4 linked regions of the Oryza sativa Japonica Group genome follow. The main gene of each other region encodes a partner of the protein of the gene in region 4 in a complex. Links are inferred from orthologs where the notes say so. Each region holds a gene or a part of one and is shown on either strand. Other genes may lie near its edges.

Region 1 (2,770 bases), on a different chromosome or scaffold from region 4:
ATCATCAATTTTGCCAATTCTATTCTTGATCCACTGCGCGTTCAGACAGAAATGATACAAATTAGGTATGTGGTGAGCTGGTGACCAACAGTAAGTTTCAGAAGCTAATTCAGAAGAATTTCCAACTCTAATTAGTGTTATTCTGTTACTAAAAGATGAATTAATCATTTAATTTTGTTCACTTCAAGGAGGTTTGCTCTTAACAAAAAGAGCACAGTTAAGTTCATGATTTTAAAACATCTCATCATACTGCTTTGAACAACTTTGTTGTAAACCTGGATACACTGATTGATGGTACAACTACACAAGCACTAGTAGTTATTGACCATTCTAATTGTGCATTGCCATTGCCCCTCAACCTACTAAACTTTGATCTCTGTAGTCTCTACAGGTAAAATTAAATTATCAAAACACTAGTTGTGGAACAAGCATTCCCTCTAAGTACGCAACGTAATCCTAATAACATCAGAACTCGGTAATCTTATGAAATCAGACCAGTAGGCATGCGTTGTAAGAGGTAAAACTTTTGTGATTCAATTCAAACGTGAGGCAGTAAAAGTACAGGAATTCTACAAGAAATGAGTGAGATGAGAGAAACGAAGCCACAAAACCATCTCTCAACAGCCATCAGGCGGCGCCGACCTCCTGCTCGAGCTTGCGCACGTACGCCGAGAGCACGGAGACGACGTCCCTGGCCGGCGCCTGCAGCGTGGTGACGACGGAGGTCGCGGGCCCCTGCAGCGAGCCGAGCAGCTTGGCGTACACCTCGGCGCGGCTGGGCATTGTCTCGAGCGCCTTGAAGTCCCCGGGGGCGTAGAACTTGCCCTCGAACACCGCGCCGACGAAGTCGTTGGTCTCCTCGAGGCGCTCCTCCTTCTGGAAGGCGCGGTAGGGCTTGAGCGCGGCGGGGACCTCCTCGGTGTGGACGAACAGCCACGCGTTCATCCCCTTCATGCACGGCTTGAGCGCCTCCCACGGCGTGCCCTCGATGGCCTTCCCCACCAGCGTGTTCTTCGCCACCAGCAGCCGGCAGGTCTCCGGGAGGGTGTCGCGGATGCCCTGCAGCTGCTTCACCGTGAGGCCCTCGTAGCGGATCCCGGCGAGGAGGTAGCAGCCCTCCAGCTGCTCGCGGACGGCGGCCACCGTGTCCTCCTTGCGGCCTCGGGTGATGGCCGCGCTGATGGTGGAGCGGCGGAGCGGGCGGGGGCGGGGGCGGGGTGCGAGGGTCTGGAACGCCGGGAGGGGCTTCGCGGTGGGGAGGGTGGTGCGGAGGAAGGAGGAGGTCTCCATCTTCGGAGGCCGGGAGCTATGGCGGGTTGGGAGAAAGAGTGGAGTGGGAGAGCTTATCTGTGGGGAAGATGAGGCGGGGGGCTCACTGGATTATGTGGGACCGTATCGTCAGTGCCTGAGAAGATGGTGAACTCAGCTCGGTCAGCTGCACAGAAAGAAGCTTCCGTGGAGATTGACCTTTGCTTGAGGATTTATAGCCGTTCGATCTTGATCCATGAGCGGTTGAAAATAAGATTAAGAGTTCCAAATAAAAAAAAATAGAGGCATAGAGCAAACGCGTATGTGTGGTATTCATAGACGTCAATTTAAACCATAGTGAGTGAAGTCGTGTACCAACAACTCCAATCTTCACTGCCTTGTTCAACACAGCATACATCACTATTGTTTTCTTGAGTTCAAAAACTCTTGATATGTACAATAAAACATAACATACATCAGTGTACTGAATTATTCAACACAATAGATATCACTATATAAGAAAATGACAGCGATTAGGCGCCCGATCAGCGGTAGAAAAATCGGGCGCTCGCCGCCTCCCGCACGCTCCCACCCCTTATGCGTTGTCCCCCCCCCCACGTGCCCCACCACACGCGTCGTTATAACAAATCACCCGCACATTAAGGAAATACTTTATTAAAGGAATCCGTTTCATTTTTTTTTCCACCAACAATGTTTTAGCAAGTGTACTCGTGATGTTTCACTATGTATGATCAAATGTTGCAATGATTTGAAACATCCTTTGCTATTTGCTGAAATATTGTTTTTATATAGGATGAAACAATGCCTGATTTTTTTTTGGAAACTGTTGTTTCATATGTTGTAACAAAATATTTCACGATGTGATTTGGTTGTGTTTCAGCTTTTTTAAAAATATTGAAACATTTTCGATCTATTTAGTGAAACAATGCCTGATTTTTGTAAAAAATCGAGCGCCCGATTTGTAGATGCATCACTATATATATATATATATATATATATATATATATATATATATATATATATATATATATATATATATATATATATATATATATATATATATATATAATTCAAACTTTTTTTTACAGGTAAGAAAACCATGCGAATCTCTTGTACGACGATCAAAATGGATATAAACATTGCAAGGATGTCAGGTGGAAAGGATATAAACTGCGACGATCAAGCAACAGCAGCTGCTCTGATGCTGTAAACACGGAGTTGTTCCGGACTCAGCATGCTCAACGCAATTTCACAGAAAACCAAACATCCGATGCTTACCATTCTCTCCATAACTCGTGTGCACTTCAAGCCATCCCTAACATGAAATGATGGTTTTGATAATGGAAGTGTATAGTTCATATAATAATGTCATTGGTAGTACTGAAATCCAAGAAATAAGATGCAGGGAAACAAGAACGTCTGGTACAGGGTGAAATTCACTTTTAGCTCTGCTGCAGCTCTGCTGCCCTGAAACCCTGACGATTCTACATATATAATGTCC
Region 2 (4,210 bases), on a different chromosome or scaffold from region 4:
GTCGGGGTGGGGCAAGCGGGAGAGCACGAAGGACGCCGCGTCGCCGGCGGCGGCGGCGGCCGAGTACTCGGATTCCAAGATTTCCTCCATGGTATTGGTATCTCGATCTTTGGGTGTAACGATCGATGGAGAATTGGATTGGAGATGAAGCGAAGGTGGAAGAGGGTGTGAGGATTTTTAAAGTTTTGGCGCGCTAGCTAGCTTAGCTAGCTTCGTGGAGTCCGCTTGTTTGGTTTCTCCGATGGCGGGAAGGACGAAGTCATGGACGGCTGCATGACATGACGACGACGATGACATATACTCGATTATATACCCCTCTTCTCTTCGGTTTTCTCATCTCGTTGAGCAGTAGACATACTAATTCAATAAGATATATAATCGCCATTCTTTTTAAGAACGATTTGCTAGGTTTTTTTTTAATTTTTGTTCCTTTCGAGAAACAGGTCACCAGCTGGAGATCTTTGTCAGAAAAAGTACAACAAGATGATACTGGAGTATGATATACGAGGATGATATTTTGATGATACTCGTTGATAATTAAACAATGATACTTGATTATACTCTTTGATATTATTCATGAAGATACGGAGTATTTGCTAATACTCGTTCTTGCACATTGATACTTGATGATACTCGTTGATATTTGCTTATACTATTAATACACGTTTATACGTAATGGTAGCTAGTGATGTATCGTTGAGTTTCAAGATAGCACCAAAATAGTGTTATAATAATATATTTCTCGATTTATGTTATAACATGAATATTAGTGAAGGACCTAATATCAAATAATTAGAAGGGGTGAGGTTACGAATCCAGGTCATTTAGGCTATCACCTTGTGGAGCTAGCCGGAAGACCCCTGAGTGTTTCTCTTAATGTATGTTATAACATCTTGGCATCACATGTACTATCTATCTATCTTAGTAATATCGTCGAGGTATCACGTACATATATATCTCCTACCTTTCTCTATACGTTGAGTGGAAGGGGGTTACAATTTGGTGGATTATTATTACGACTTGTTTGGTATGAAACCATGCCAAAATATTGGCAATGCCAAATCTTGAGTAAATTTTGGTATTACTAAATTTTTGTTATTGTCTATTTGGCTTCACCTTATTGATTTAGCAAAATTTGACTCTAATTCAAATAGTTACGTGTTAACTATTCAAAGTTACCAAATAATTTATTTTTGACCTTTAAGTTATCAAAGAATTAGTAAGGCAAGAAGGAGCGCCAAACCAAAATGACCCTTAATCTTCAAGCCCATGACAACCCCGAAGAAAACCTTTGATACTGGGCCGATTTGAAAGGCCCAAAGCAGCGCAAAGCCCAAGAGAGAGGGCACCAAATCCGTTGGGGAAGTGGATAAGAGAGCAGCAGCCGCAGTTCCTTCCCTTCCCCCGCAATCCATCCCCAACGCCATGGCCTCCACGCTCGCCTGGAGCTCCGCCGCCTCCTCCTCCGCCCCCTCCTCCCGCCTCCCGCCGCGCCGCTCCCCGTCGCTGGTCGTCGTCGCCCAGGGCAAGGTCAAGAAGTATCGCCAGGTTTGGCTTCCACTTGTATTTTCTCTCCACAGTTGCAGCATGTATGTATGTATGTATTTAATTGCGATTCGTTCGAGCTAAGCAGTACTAGTACTGACTGATTGAACAAGCTGTTGCTGGTGATGCTTTTGTTTTGCCTCTTTTAGAACTAGCCATACCCAATGTACTGTCTGTCACCACCCTGTCCACTAATCAGTACAGTAGATTACAAAGCGCATGCGACTGCATTCCATCGATCGAAAAATTCGAAATGCAGCAGCTGTAAGCTTAAGATTACTGTGTGCATTCACACATCTGAGTATAGGAAAAGATACATTGCCATGGACGCATGCTCTGATGCAGTACATGGAAATGGAAGAAACTATCGTCATGTTTTTAATTAGGTGCCTCTTAGCATTGCAACTCAGATGCAAAAGTCATCTCTAATATGATTCTGTATATGCCCCGGAACGCCGGAATTGTTGGTTTGGCCATGCTGTTTGTTTGTAGGGAAAGTTGCAACTAAAAGGCATCTAGATACACCCAGTTCAAAATTTGCACCTGTAAACTGTAAAATGTTCCAAGCCTATGTCATCATCTTCCTTGTCTATTATGCATTTCTATACTTTAGCATGTAATGCACGATTCCGTATTTGATTTACTTCACTTGAGTTTCTTTTTCTCCCAGGTCATACTGACAGATGACATAGCAGAGGTGGGGAAGAAAGGGGACACGCTTAAAGTGAGGGCCGGGTTCTACCGCAACTTCCTTCTGCCAAAGGGCAAGGCAACGCTGCTCACCCCAGAAGTACTCAAGTAATCTTCTGTCTTACAGTCATTTACCACATCTCACGAATTGTATAGGCTATGTTTCAACCAACAGATAGGTGCTCCTAGTAAATTAATTGACGTATGCTTATGTTTCATCGTAGTTGGTTTTCACAGTATGCTGCAGGTGTAAATTTGCAGCTATTTATTCTGTTGTGTTAGCCATTGTATCTCTTGCCTCCTTGTGGAGCCCAGGATTGACATATAAATCTGCAAACTTTTATAGATGCCTATTCTGCATTTCTAGTTCAGTTCTTCTGGGGTGTTCAACATGTTCAATTAGTTCTTGTAAAAGGATGGCTAGTAAGCTACTTAATTTCCTCTGCTGCTGTCTACAGGGAAATGCAAGTAGAACAGGAGAGGATAGATGCTGAAAAGAAGCGGGTAAGTAAACCTATTATTCTATTTGTGGACTCAGTAAGAATTGATATAGTTGAAACTTATTCCTATTTGTTCCTGTCTGTCTAAAAACTACTGTGGTAGTTATACCCTACTAATCCTTGTTCTCCAGGGTACGTAGTTGTGGTTTAGCTTATTTTGTAAAAAGTCTAAAGCATGATTTGTTCCTACCAATATCATTTTCCATAAGAGTATAAGAACTTTCATCCAGTGTTAGCATAATCTTACCCTGTTGAGCATTTGTGCTTGAGTAGGTAAAAGAAGAGGCACAGCAACTTGCCCGTGTTTTTGAAACTATTGGGGCATTCAAAGTGCCACGTAAAGGTGGGAAAGGAAAACAGATATTTGGGAGGCAAGTTTTTATCGAGTAGATAGTTCTTTATGTATCGTCTTATTTTACTTGCACTTAATAACAAGTTTTTCTTCTATTCTACAGCGTCACAGCACAAGATCTTGTTGACATCATAAAGTCACAACTTAATAGGTATGCCCTTCTAAGTGCACTGACAATCACTACCTTTTAAGGAAGGATTGCGATGCTCTATTTGCTGCTGTTGCTTTGCTTACCGGAAACTATTTCATGTAGGGATGTCGACAAGCGTCTCGTGACAGTGCCAGAAATTCGTGAAATTGGGGAATACATTGCAGAGATTAAGCTTCACCCTGAAGTCACAGCTCAAGTAAGGCTGACCGTATATGCGAAATAAGCCCTGAAGCTGCTTGATTGAATCTTTAGTGGATGGTGGGCTTTGGATGAATTCTGATTTCACCAGGTAAGCTCATCTGCAAGGCATTCCATTGTTCCTTACCTTTTGCTCCGTTCTTAAGCTGTCATATACATTTCGTCAATTGTGTTAGCAGCTGAATTCATGCAATGATTTACTTGCAGAGATTTTTGCTGAAACTCCAAGGTGCAGTGTCACATCACGGGGCTTGGTCTTTACACATTGCCACTGTCCATCCTACCTGTAAAGTCAGTTTCTTGCACCTTTTTTTTTTTGACAAATTTATTTGTGTTAATGTTATGGGGTTAAATGGGCATGATGTAAACAACAAAGGGTTCAGAGTCTAGAGCAACTGATACTTGTCTTGTAATCTTGTTTAAAGGTGCACGTTCTTTATAGTCATATAGTTTGATAGAGCTACTACAATATTTGGGTTGGGTGGGCCAAAATGGCACGTAGGCAGTCTGGTGGTCGTAGGTTGGGCCGCTTGGTCGCTGTATTATTAGGCCCAAACATAGGGATTTCAACACATTTTTTAATGAAAACTTTCATCTGAAAAAACCTTCGTTTGGAAACTTCCATCCAGAAACTTTTCATCTGAAACTTTGACACGGACTTTATATGCCAAAAGTGTGTGCCGCGGGCAAAGCTGAGCTAATTAGTCATCCTGTTAGTACATAAACTATTTGGGTTAGATTTGTTTGTGGGTGAGGGTGGAAAAAGTTAGGGAA
Region 3 (3,672 bases), on a different chromosome or scaffold from region 4:
AAAGGACTGGAAATTTTGAAATGTTCTAAGATGTATTACAAATATTTGTGATCGTCGGAAAAATTGTCTGAAATGTTCTAAAATGTCTCTGTTTTATGTGGTTGACAGGAGCTGGAGGAGGTGGGTGGGATTGAGGAGCTGGAGAAGGAGATCAAGAGGAGGATTAAGAGGAAAGAGACCTTAGATGCGATCCAATGAGAGCTACTTATCACACATTTTTTTCTTTTTATTTGCTGTCATCTCTTATTAGTTTTTGCTTCAGTGGCAATTGTAGCCTTGTAATATGCTTTTCTGTCCTGTTAATAGAAGAATAATTTAGATAGATATTTGGAAGCTCATTTGGACGGTGGAGCACACAGGTATTAGAAATGATGTGCTGGGGCTGAATGGCTGATGCTTTTGCTAGTACTGCTGGTAATGATATATATTAATCAGTACCATTCTGAATTTATTAGTCTGGTTGAGTCGTGCTGCTGACAGTGAGGTGTTCACTGATAAAATGTGTACTTTCTTTTATATTCTTTATTTGCCGACATTCTGTATCTCTTGTTCACGAGATGTGCCGGATGTAAATATGAAAGTGATGCATGGCTGATTACTTTTTGACCGTGAAGAAGAATTAATGAAGCTTATGCACACTAGGCGGTTCCTCCATACTGCTGAATGGCTGTTCATTAAGGCCCTGACAAGTGACAAGGTCACAGACTGACAGTTACTTCTTGAGGTCAAGGAGGTTAATGTAGTTTATCAGGATTAGGTTGCAAACTGACAAGGAAGATATTGTCCGTTGTGTTTCTACTCTTGGTGTCAAGTCGATCCTCACAGGATCACGGTCGTGGCATTGCTGGTCCTTGGTAGAACAAGGTAGGGCAAGCGCAATGTTGTGATCTGGGACCTTTCAAATCAGATCCTAGTGATTGTCCCCTGGTTATAAAGAACTGCATGTTACGGTTACTGCATGATTAGTTAGGCATAAGCATGTGACGAGGATCCTCGTCGTGATATTCCGTCCATTTTTCAATGTTGATCAAGCGTGGCAGATCTCCTGCTGATCTGCCAGCAACTGTTGCTAGGTTCAGAGTTTGCTTGATCTTGTTTAAGCTCTTCATCGGCGTTTTTTATGTTTGAAGTCATCGTTTAATGGCATACTACTACTATACTAGTGATGTCCTGTAGTGCATTAGAAAATACAGAATGGGCCACATACTCAAACACTGTTACCGGTTGACCAAAACAAGGCATATATCGAAATTCACACACTGCAGACTTGCAGTTGTTGACTCATGTAACTTTACCCTTCTCTTAGGCCGTGTTTAGTTCACCCCCAACTCAACGGTTTTGATGGGCCTAAGGCCCAAATCAACGGTTTTGATGGGCCTAAGGCCTGAAACCATGTCGAACAGTTCGATGGGCCGAACCATGACGAGAAAGCCCACCTGCGACACTGGACAGCAACGGCAGCCAGCCACAGCCAACTCGCCTTATCCCGTAATCCATCCATGGCATAAAGCTCCCTCCTCAGCTCCCACCTCCGTCTCCGCGCACGCTCCAATGGCGGCCACGGCTGTGACCCTGCCGTCCTCGCCGGCCCCCTTCCCCGTCACCACCACCGCCTCCTCCTCCCGTAACGTCCGCCTCCTCCTCCGCTCCCCGCCTCCTCGCCGAGCCCTCCGCGTCGCCGCCTCCGCCGCGGCCGACGCGCCACCCAAGCCGGCGCCGCCGCCGACCTCGCCTTCGGGCATCGTCCTCGTCGACCCCACCGAGGCACAGAAGGTGCACCGCCTCAAGGCTGTATACGACCAGAAGGTGGTCCCCCTCATCACCGAGGAGTTCGGCTACACCAATGTCCACCAGGTGTTCGACCTCTGTCTCCCTTCTCGCAATTATAGGATAGACATGGCCATTTCTTTGCGGAACTCGGGAAATTCGATTGTTGTTCAATAATTGAGCTTAGAGGAGTGTGTTTTGGATTCTCGATTTTATTCAGGTGCCCAAGGTTGAGAAGATTGTAGTGAATTGCGGGTTGGGGGCTGAAGCCGGTAACTCCAAGGGGCTCGAATCCGCCATGAAGGACCTCGCCATGATCACCGGCCAGTGGCCCGTCAAGACGAAGGCCAAGAAGTCCGTCGCCAGTTTCAAGATCCGCGAGGGGAACACCATTGGTATTGCCGTTACGCTCCGCGGCAGGGTGAGTCCTCTGTACCTCTGGCTACTTGCGATGCAGACATTGACAAATTGGGGACTGCAATGTTGTATCAATTTGGGATTTGCATGACAGTATAATAGCCTAAAGTATGTGTGAGAATTGCAATTACTCCATCCAGTTCCAAATTATTGTCACCGTTGGCCGTCAGTATTTTACATTGACCACAAATTTTAAATGGTTGGACGAACGAAAGTTTAATACCTATCTATGTGGAGTAACAACCTTTAATAATATGGCATATTTTTAGGTATATGCATTTTATTTTCTAAAAAATATAAGTGATCAAAGTTCAAATATGAATAGTATCCAGTGACAAGTATTTGGGAACCTAGGGAATATGTTTGATCGATGAGCTTATTTTGGCTTGCTGCAGGTAATGTTCAACTTCCTGGATAGGCTCATCAACCTTGGGCTTCCTAGGACCATGGACTTCCTTGGTGTCAACCCCAACAGCTTTGATGGCCATGGCAACTTCACCATAGGCCTTCGTGATCAGGGCGTGTTCCCGGAGATCCCGTACGAGGTCGGTGGGAAGAAGAATGGAATGGACGTCTGCATCGTCACCACCGCGAAGACCGACAACGAGGCTCTCAGGCTGCTCACCCTCCTTGGCATGCCGTTCGCGGAGCACATCAAGTCCTCCGTGGTGATCCGGAAGAAGAGGTTGAAGCGCCACCACTTCATGAGCAAGGGCAGGGGAAGACGGTGATTGCAAACCGCTGCCTAGGCACGTTGAGCTTTGCTTCTCACTTTGTCAATTGTCATTGTTTTTGCAAAGTTTCGTTTAGAAGTTTGATGATTTTGTTATCTTGTCACGTGCTGTATTTACTGTCAGAAGACAAAATGAAAAGGCTTTGCTTTGGTCAGGTCATTCGCAGATGAGCACTCATAAATGAATTGGGTGTAAAGAGATTATCCGGCAGCATTTTCAAACTGCTTAACTTTACTCACTAAACCACATCATATATATCTCTTTGGTCCCAAGCATCTCATAGCCCAGGCCATTACCCACACCATACTATCATCCTATATCAGTATTTCAGTAGCTACACGTTGGCAATTCAGGCGGACCGATGACGAGCTCTTCTTCAGGGAAGGCGCATGGCTTGCCCGCCGCCCCGAGCTCCGGGCACGGCACCGGCGAGACGTCGGAGGCGACACCCTTGACATCGGTGCAGTTCCATTGCAGCTTCTTGGCGTCCGGCGCGAGCTGCGCGGTGACGTTGGACATGCAGATGCCAGTGTAGGGGTCGTTGGGAATCCCCTCCATCCTGCCGGCCATGGTGACGTTCTCCGCGAACACGTCGCTGTAGTTGATGCCGGTGACCTCCGGCAGAGCGTTGGGGTCGGAGGAGTTGTCCGGGTGCTGGCCGTAGTTGCCGGTCATCCAGAACACCCACTTCATGGTGTGGAGGCTGAGGCCGCGGACGAACACGTCCTTGACGTAGCCGCCGCGCCCCACGCCG
Region 4 (4,059 bases):
GATGATTCGAAATCTTCGGTCAAAAAGCTTGGAATTCATAGTATAACGACCACTGTCACTATGCTATTTGGTTTTAGGTAGAGAAACCAAGAGTTCTTCGATTCGAAATTAGGTTGGTTCCTCAACCTCCTCACATGGATCGGAAGGCTTCGATTCGAAGTCGTCCGATTCACATCGGTGCCATCTACCTACCCATCCCCATTCCCCACCGCCCACGCCCAACCCTATCAAATGAAACGCGAGATTGCAACCCCCCAAAGAGAAGAAAACGGCAGCGGAAATGGCGACGTCCCGATCCCCCACGCGGCGTGATGGGGAAGAACTCCTCAGGCGTACGCGCATCGGCAGCGTCGTCACCGCGAAAGCGCCCCCCAAAAGAGAGAGGAAATGGGTCCCAGAAAAGCGCAAAAGGGACGGAACTTGGGGGGTTGCTTGCCTCCGCAACTGTCGCTTGGCTTGCGCGCGTCGCCGGCGACGTCGAAGCCGCCGGAATCCGGGAGGCGCCACGCCTGGGCGCCCCCGCCGAAGCAGCATCTCGCGGCGCGTGGCGTGGTGATGATGCGTGTGGAGACGAAGCCACGCAACGCAACGAGGAAGACGACGAGCGTATGCTGGGCTGGGCCTTATCCGAAAACGGGTGTCGGCCCATATCAACCCAGGACGTTCGGCCCACGTTACTTGACCACAAACGGGATTGCGGACGACGAGCGGCCCACGACATTTGGGCCTTAACCGGATTGCTGACGTGCGTGATAGTAAGTCTATTTTGCCTCCCTCATGTTCTCTGCGAGTCAGCCTGCCACGTCAACAGGAACCACCCTACAAACCATCTAAGGGTTGATCTGCTACGGTTTTCGCTTATTCGAATCGTTTATTAGCAAATAAAAATTTATTTATGAGTAAAATGTTTATATATGTCCATAATAACTTAAAGCAAATGTTGTAAAATATAAGCATTTTAAAAAAACAAAAAAGCAAATTCAAAACTAAGTTCTCAAATTCAAATTTTGGCTCATAAATATAAGCATAACCAAACAATAAGACCGATTTTCCTCCATTTTGCGGTTGAGGGAGGTAATTCAATCAGGAGCAGAGATGAGAAATGTACAATAGATTTTATCTGTGTAGGTGCGACCTGTTCTTGTTGGGTCGAGACGGGATTGCGGCTTACGTGAGGCCCGCTATATTTGAGCCTGAACGGGATCGCGGCTGACTTGGGCCGTAAGGTCCGTTGTAGTTGGGCTGGATTACGATAGGCCTTTCATTAGGCCTTTATGAGTCTTACAAGTGGGCCAATCCATTCGGCCTAGAGGCCCATTTGTCATGTAGAAAAGCGCTCGCCATTATCCTGTCCGCGAGCACACGAAGGCGTTCGTTATCCTCTGCTGCTTCTCTGCGGTTTGAGCGAGCGAGGGAGGAAGAGGAGGGGAGGAGACGAAGATGGCCGGGGTGGCGGCGTTGCAGGGCGCGATGGCGTCCCTCTCCATCTCTGCGCCGGGGGCGGCGAGCACCAGCAGCTTCTGGGGCCACCCGCTCTCCACCTTCGCCGCCGCGCCGGCTGGGGTTTGTGCCGACTCCCAACCCTGATTCTCATTTTTCGCATTCCTTTATGTTTGCTCTGCTCTTATGATTCGCTGGAAAAGTAGAAATGCCAGCTTGCACTGAGATTTAGGATTTTAGAGCTCACCAACAGCGTGGCATTGCAATGGTGATGTCTACATCGCCTCACTGTACTGTTGTTGCCTTCAGGAGTTCAGGCTCAGGACCTCAACTAGCCAACAACCAACGTTGTGTCAAAATTTTGTGGTATATTTTTTTTAGAGAAAAGGTCTCAAGGATTTTGTGGTATAGTTGAACCTAGTTGGCTAGTATAAGGAGGGTTTATATGAATTAATGAATGCTTGAAATCTCAAGTTTGAGTATATCAACTGAGTGAATTCAGAAGTTAGAAATTGTGTTGTCTACCATGGGATGTGGCCTGTTATGTTTCAGTTTAAACTTGAATATTATTTTTTTCCTATGGTGGTATAAGCGATGGATACCCAATATTCAGCCTTTCAAGCAGAGGATTATTTTTCTGAAAGATGTGCCCTCTAGTGAGACAGACCATTTCTTGTTCTAACCTGCTGTATAGATCACATTTCGCTGGCTAGAAACAATTTTGCCTTTGAACTTTAAATTACTCAACAGTAGAAATTTCACAGAAGACTTCCATGGGAAAATGATGGAAACTCATTTCACTCGGGGATAGCCTGTAGCAAATGATTGGCACACTCGGTATACTTATCAGACTGAACTTGTTCTATCTTTTGTATATTCTTTTTGGCGTTCCTTAGCTCTTCTAGATAGTCTACTGCACTTCGTCCTCAGAATGAGACTCACTCACGACTAATTACTTACCTGGAAAGTGGTGATGAGAGAAAATAAGGCCGAATAATTGCTCTTGAATGGAGTGACTGAGCTATATATGGCACTTATATGATGAACTGTACTAAAATCTGCACTTATATGAAGAAACTCGTACTAAAAGATCATATGATTATCCTAGATATTCTTGCCTAAGAAACATCGTGAGCATGATTCATGTCATATCTCAAAAGCAGCTGATTATTACATTTTATGTCATTTTCATAAGAAACTCTGACAAGATATGCATAAATTTTTATATGCAGGTTAAATTTATGATCAAGACATGCCCAATTCAAATGAGGGTAAGTTTCAATTCTTTTTTGGTCTGCAGCTTGCTATTTACTCAAATGTCTGAAATTTCCCTTTTTCCAATGCAGCTTAAGCGATGGGAGAGGAAGAAGTGTAAACCAAACAGTCTTCCTGTCCTGCACAAGATGCATGTTAGGATTGGCGATACAGTACAAGTCATTGCAGGCCGTGAGAAAGGTAAAGTTGGAGAAGTTACGCGGCTTTTTAAGCACAACAGCACTGTAATAGTGAAGGACTTGAACTTGAAGTCCAAGCACAAGAAAGGAACAGAAGATGAACCGGGTGAAATCGTCATGGTCAGCATTGTTTCTCTTGAAACTTCTTTCTGTGCTGCTTCTAGCTAGTGTCGTATATATAGTTTCAGATGCCTGATCGTTAACCTATGGTTGTTGGTGTTTTCTTTGATCAGATTGAAGGCCCCATTCACAGCTCAAATGTGATGCTCTACTCAAAGGAAAAGAATGTGGCGAGTAGGGTTGGACACAAATTCCTTGAGGATGGAACGAAGGTTCGGTACCTGGTCAAGACTGGTGAAATAATTGACAGTGCTGAGAATTGGGTCAAGGTGTTCAAGGAAGGAAGTTCGGAGTGATCATGGTAGCATGGGAGTCCTGCACATTTTCTGAACTGCACTTTTTGTATGCCCAAATGAGTTGATGCTTTTCTAGATTCAGATTTCAGAGTCTTGTAAATTTCTATACAGTTGCCAACATTTTTTTGTATCCAATGACATGCTTGGCTTGTTAACCAGCTACTAGAATGGTTCAGCTACATTCGCTCATACAAATGATTTTGTAATGTTGTTGCTGTCCCCTGTCCTGAGCTATTATTCGCAACCATTGACTAATTTGGTCCATTTCCATATAGAAATATAGATGAGATGTACATATAAAACCCATGAATGATTGATAAGTTCTTTTTTTTAAGGAGTAGTAAGATAGGAGTATCATAAAAGAAACAAGCTTAGCAATTTTTTTTTTGAAACAACCCGCAGCGATGTTTCTATTGATATAGTAGGAAAAAAATACAAATATATAGTGCTAAAAGATAGCGATGTTTCTATTGATATAGTAGGAAAAAAAATACAAATATATAGTGCTAAAAGATTATAGTCAGAAAAAGGAAAAAACAAATCTGATTTGCCATTGATAACATGAAAGCTCAAGAGCTCGTGCTGACGGCTGAGAATCAACATAGCAGATATGGCACGCAAATATCAAATCCAGGTGATCGTAAGCAAACCACAGTTTTCTGCTTGCGTTTTGCTCCGCGAGGGAAACCTGACACCTGTCCAGATCCCATGAGACGAAGATGCAACCCATCAAGGTCACGAAAACAACG

Evidence for each region.
Region 1: 50S ribosomal protein L24, chloroplastic (region 4) and large ribosomal subunit protein uL10c share a complex: the UniProt entries of both Arabidopsis thaliana proteins name them as parts of the 50S ribosomal subunit. The link is inferred for Oryza sativa Japonica Group from reciprocal best matches to the Arabidopsis thaliana genes RPL24 and EMB3136.
Region 2: 50S ribosomal protein L24, chloroplastic (region 4) and large ribosomal subunit protein bL9c share a complex: the UniProt entries of both Arabidopsis thaliana proteins name them as parts of the 50S ribosomal subunit. The link is inferred for Oryza sativa Japonica Group from reciprocal best matches to the Arabidopsis thaliana genes RPL24 and RPL9.
Region 3: 50S ribosomal protein L24, chloroplastic (region 4) and large ribosomal subunit protein uL5c share a complex: the UniProt entries of both Arabidopsis thaliana proteins name them as parts of the 50S ribosomal subunit. The link is inferred for Oryza sativa Japonica Group from reciprocal best matches to the Arabidopsis thaliana genes RPL24 and AT4G01310.

The regions. Positions count from the first base shown.
Region 1 is NC_089037.1:9,831,875-9,834,644, forward strand, and holds large ribosomal subunit protein uL10c, read right to left. Parts: upstream 1,352-2,770; 5' UTR 1,291-1,351; coding exon 628-1,290; 3' UTR 505-627; downstream 1-504. UniProt on the Arabidopsis thaliana protein: This protein binds directly to 23S ribosomal RNA.
Region 2 is NC_089036.1:35,818,855-35,823,064, reverse strand, and holds large ribosomal subunit protein bL9c, read left to right. Parts: upstream 1-1,406; 5' UTR 1,407-1,425; coding exon 1,426-1,548; intron 1,549-2,215; coding exon 2,216-2,343; intron 2,344-2,693; coding exon 2,694-2,739; intron 2,740-3,008; coding exon 3,009-3,106; intron 3,107-3,190; coding exon 3,191-3,238; intron 3,239-3,340; coding exon 3,341-3,461; 3' UTR 3,462-3,527; intron 3,528-3,643; 3' UTR 3,644-3,881; downstream 3,882-4,210. Other genes in the region: 4-coumarate--CoA ligase-like 3, read right to left, coding at 1-90. UniProt on the Arabidopsis thaliana protein: Binds to the 23S rRNA.
Region 3 is NC_089037.1:1,440,995-1,444,666, reverse strand, and holds large ribosomal subunit protein uL5c, read left to right. Parts: upstream 1-1,483; 5' UTR 1,484-1,551; coding exon 1,552-1,854; intron 1,855-1,987; coding exon 1,988-2,188; intron 2,189-2,579; coding exon 2,580-2,915; 3' UTR 2,916-3,168; downstream 3,169-3,672. Other genes in the region: beta-carotene hydroxylase 2, chloroplastic, read left to right, coding at 109-198; probable polygalacturonase, read right to left, coding at 3,246-3,672. UniProt on the Arabidopsis thaliana protein: Binds 5S rRNA, forms part of the central protuberance of the 50S subunit.
Region 4 is NC_089040.1:29,338,634-29,342,692, reverse strand, and holds 50S ribosomal protein L24, chloroplastic, read left to right. Parts: upstream 1-1,360; 5' UTR 1,361-1,440; coding exon 1,441-1,563; intron 1,564-2,672; coding exon 2,673-2,711; intron 2,712-2,786; coding exon 2,787-3,014; intron 3,015-3,127; coding exon 3,128-3,310; 3' UTR 3,311-3,532; downstream 3,533-4,059. UniProt on the Arabidopsis thaliana protein: One of two assembly initiator proteins, it binds directly to the 5'-end of the 23S rRNA, where it nucleates assembly of the 50S subunit. Required for optimal plastid performance in terms of photosynthesis and growth.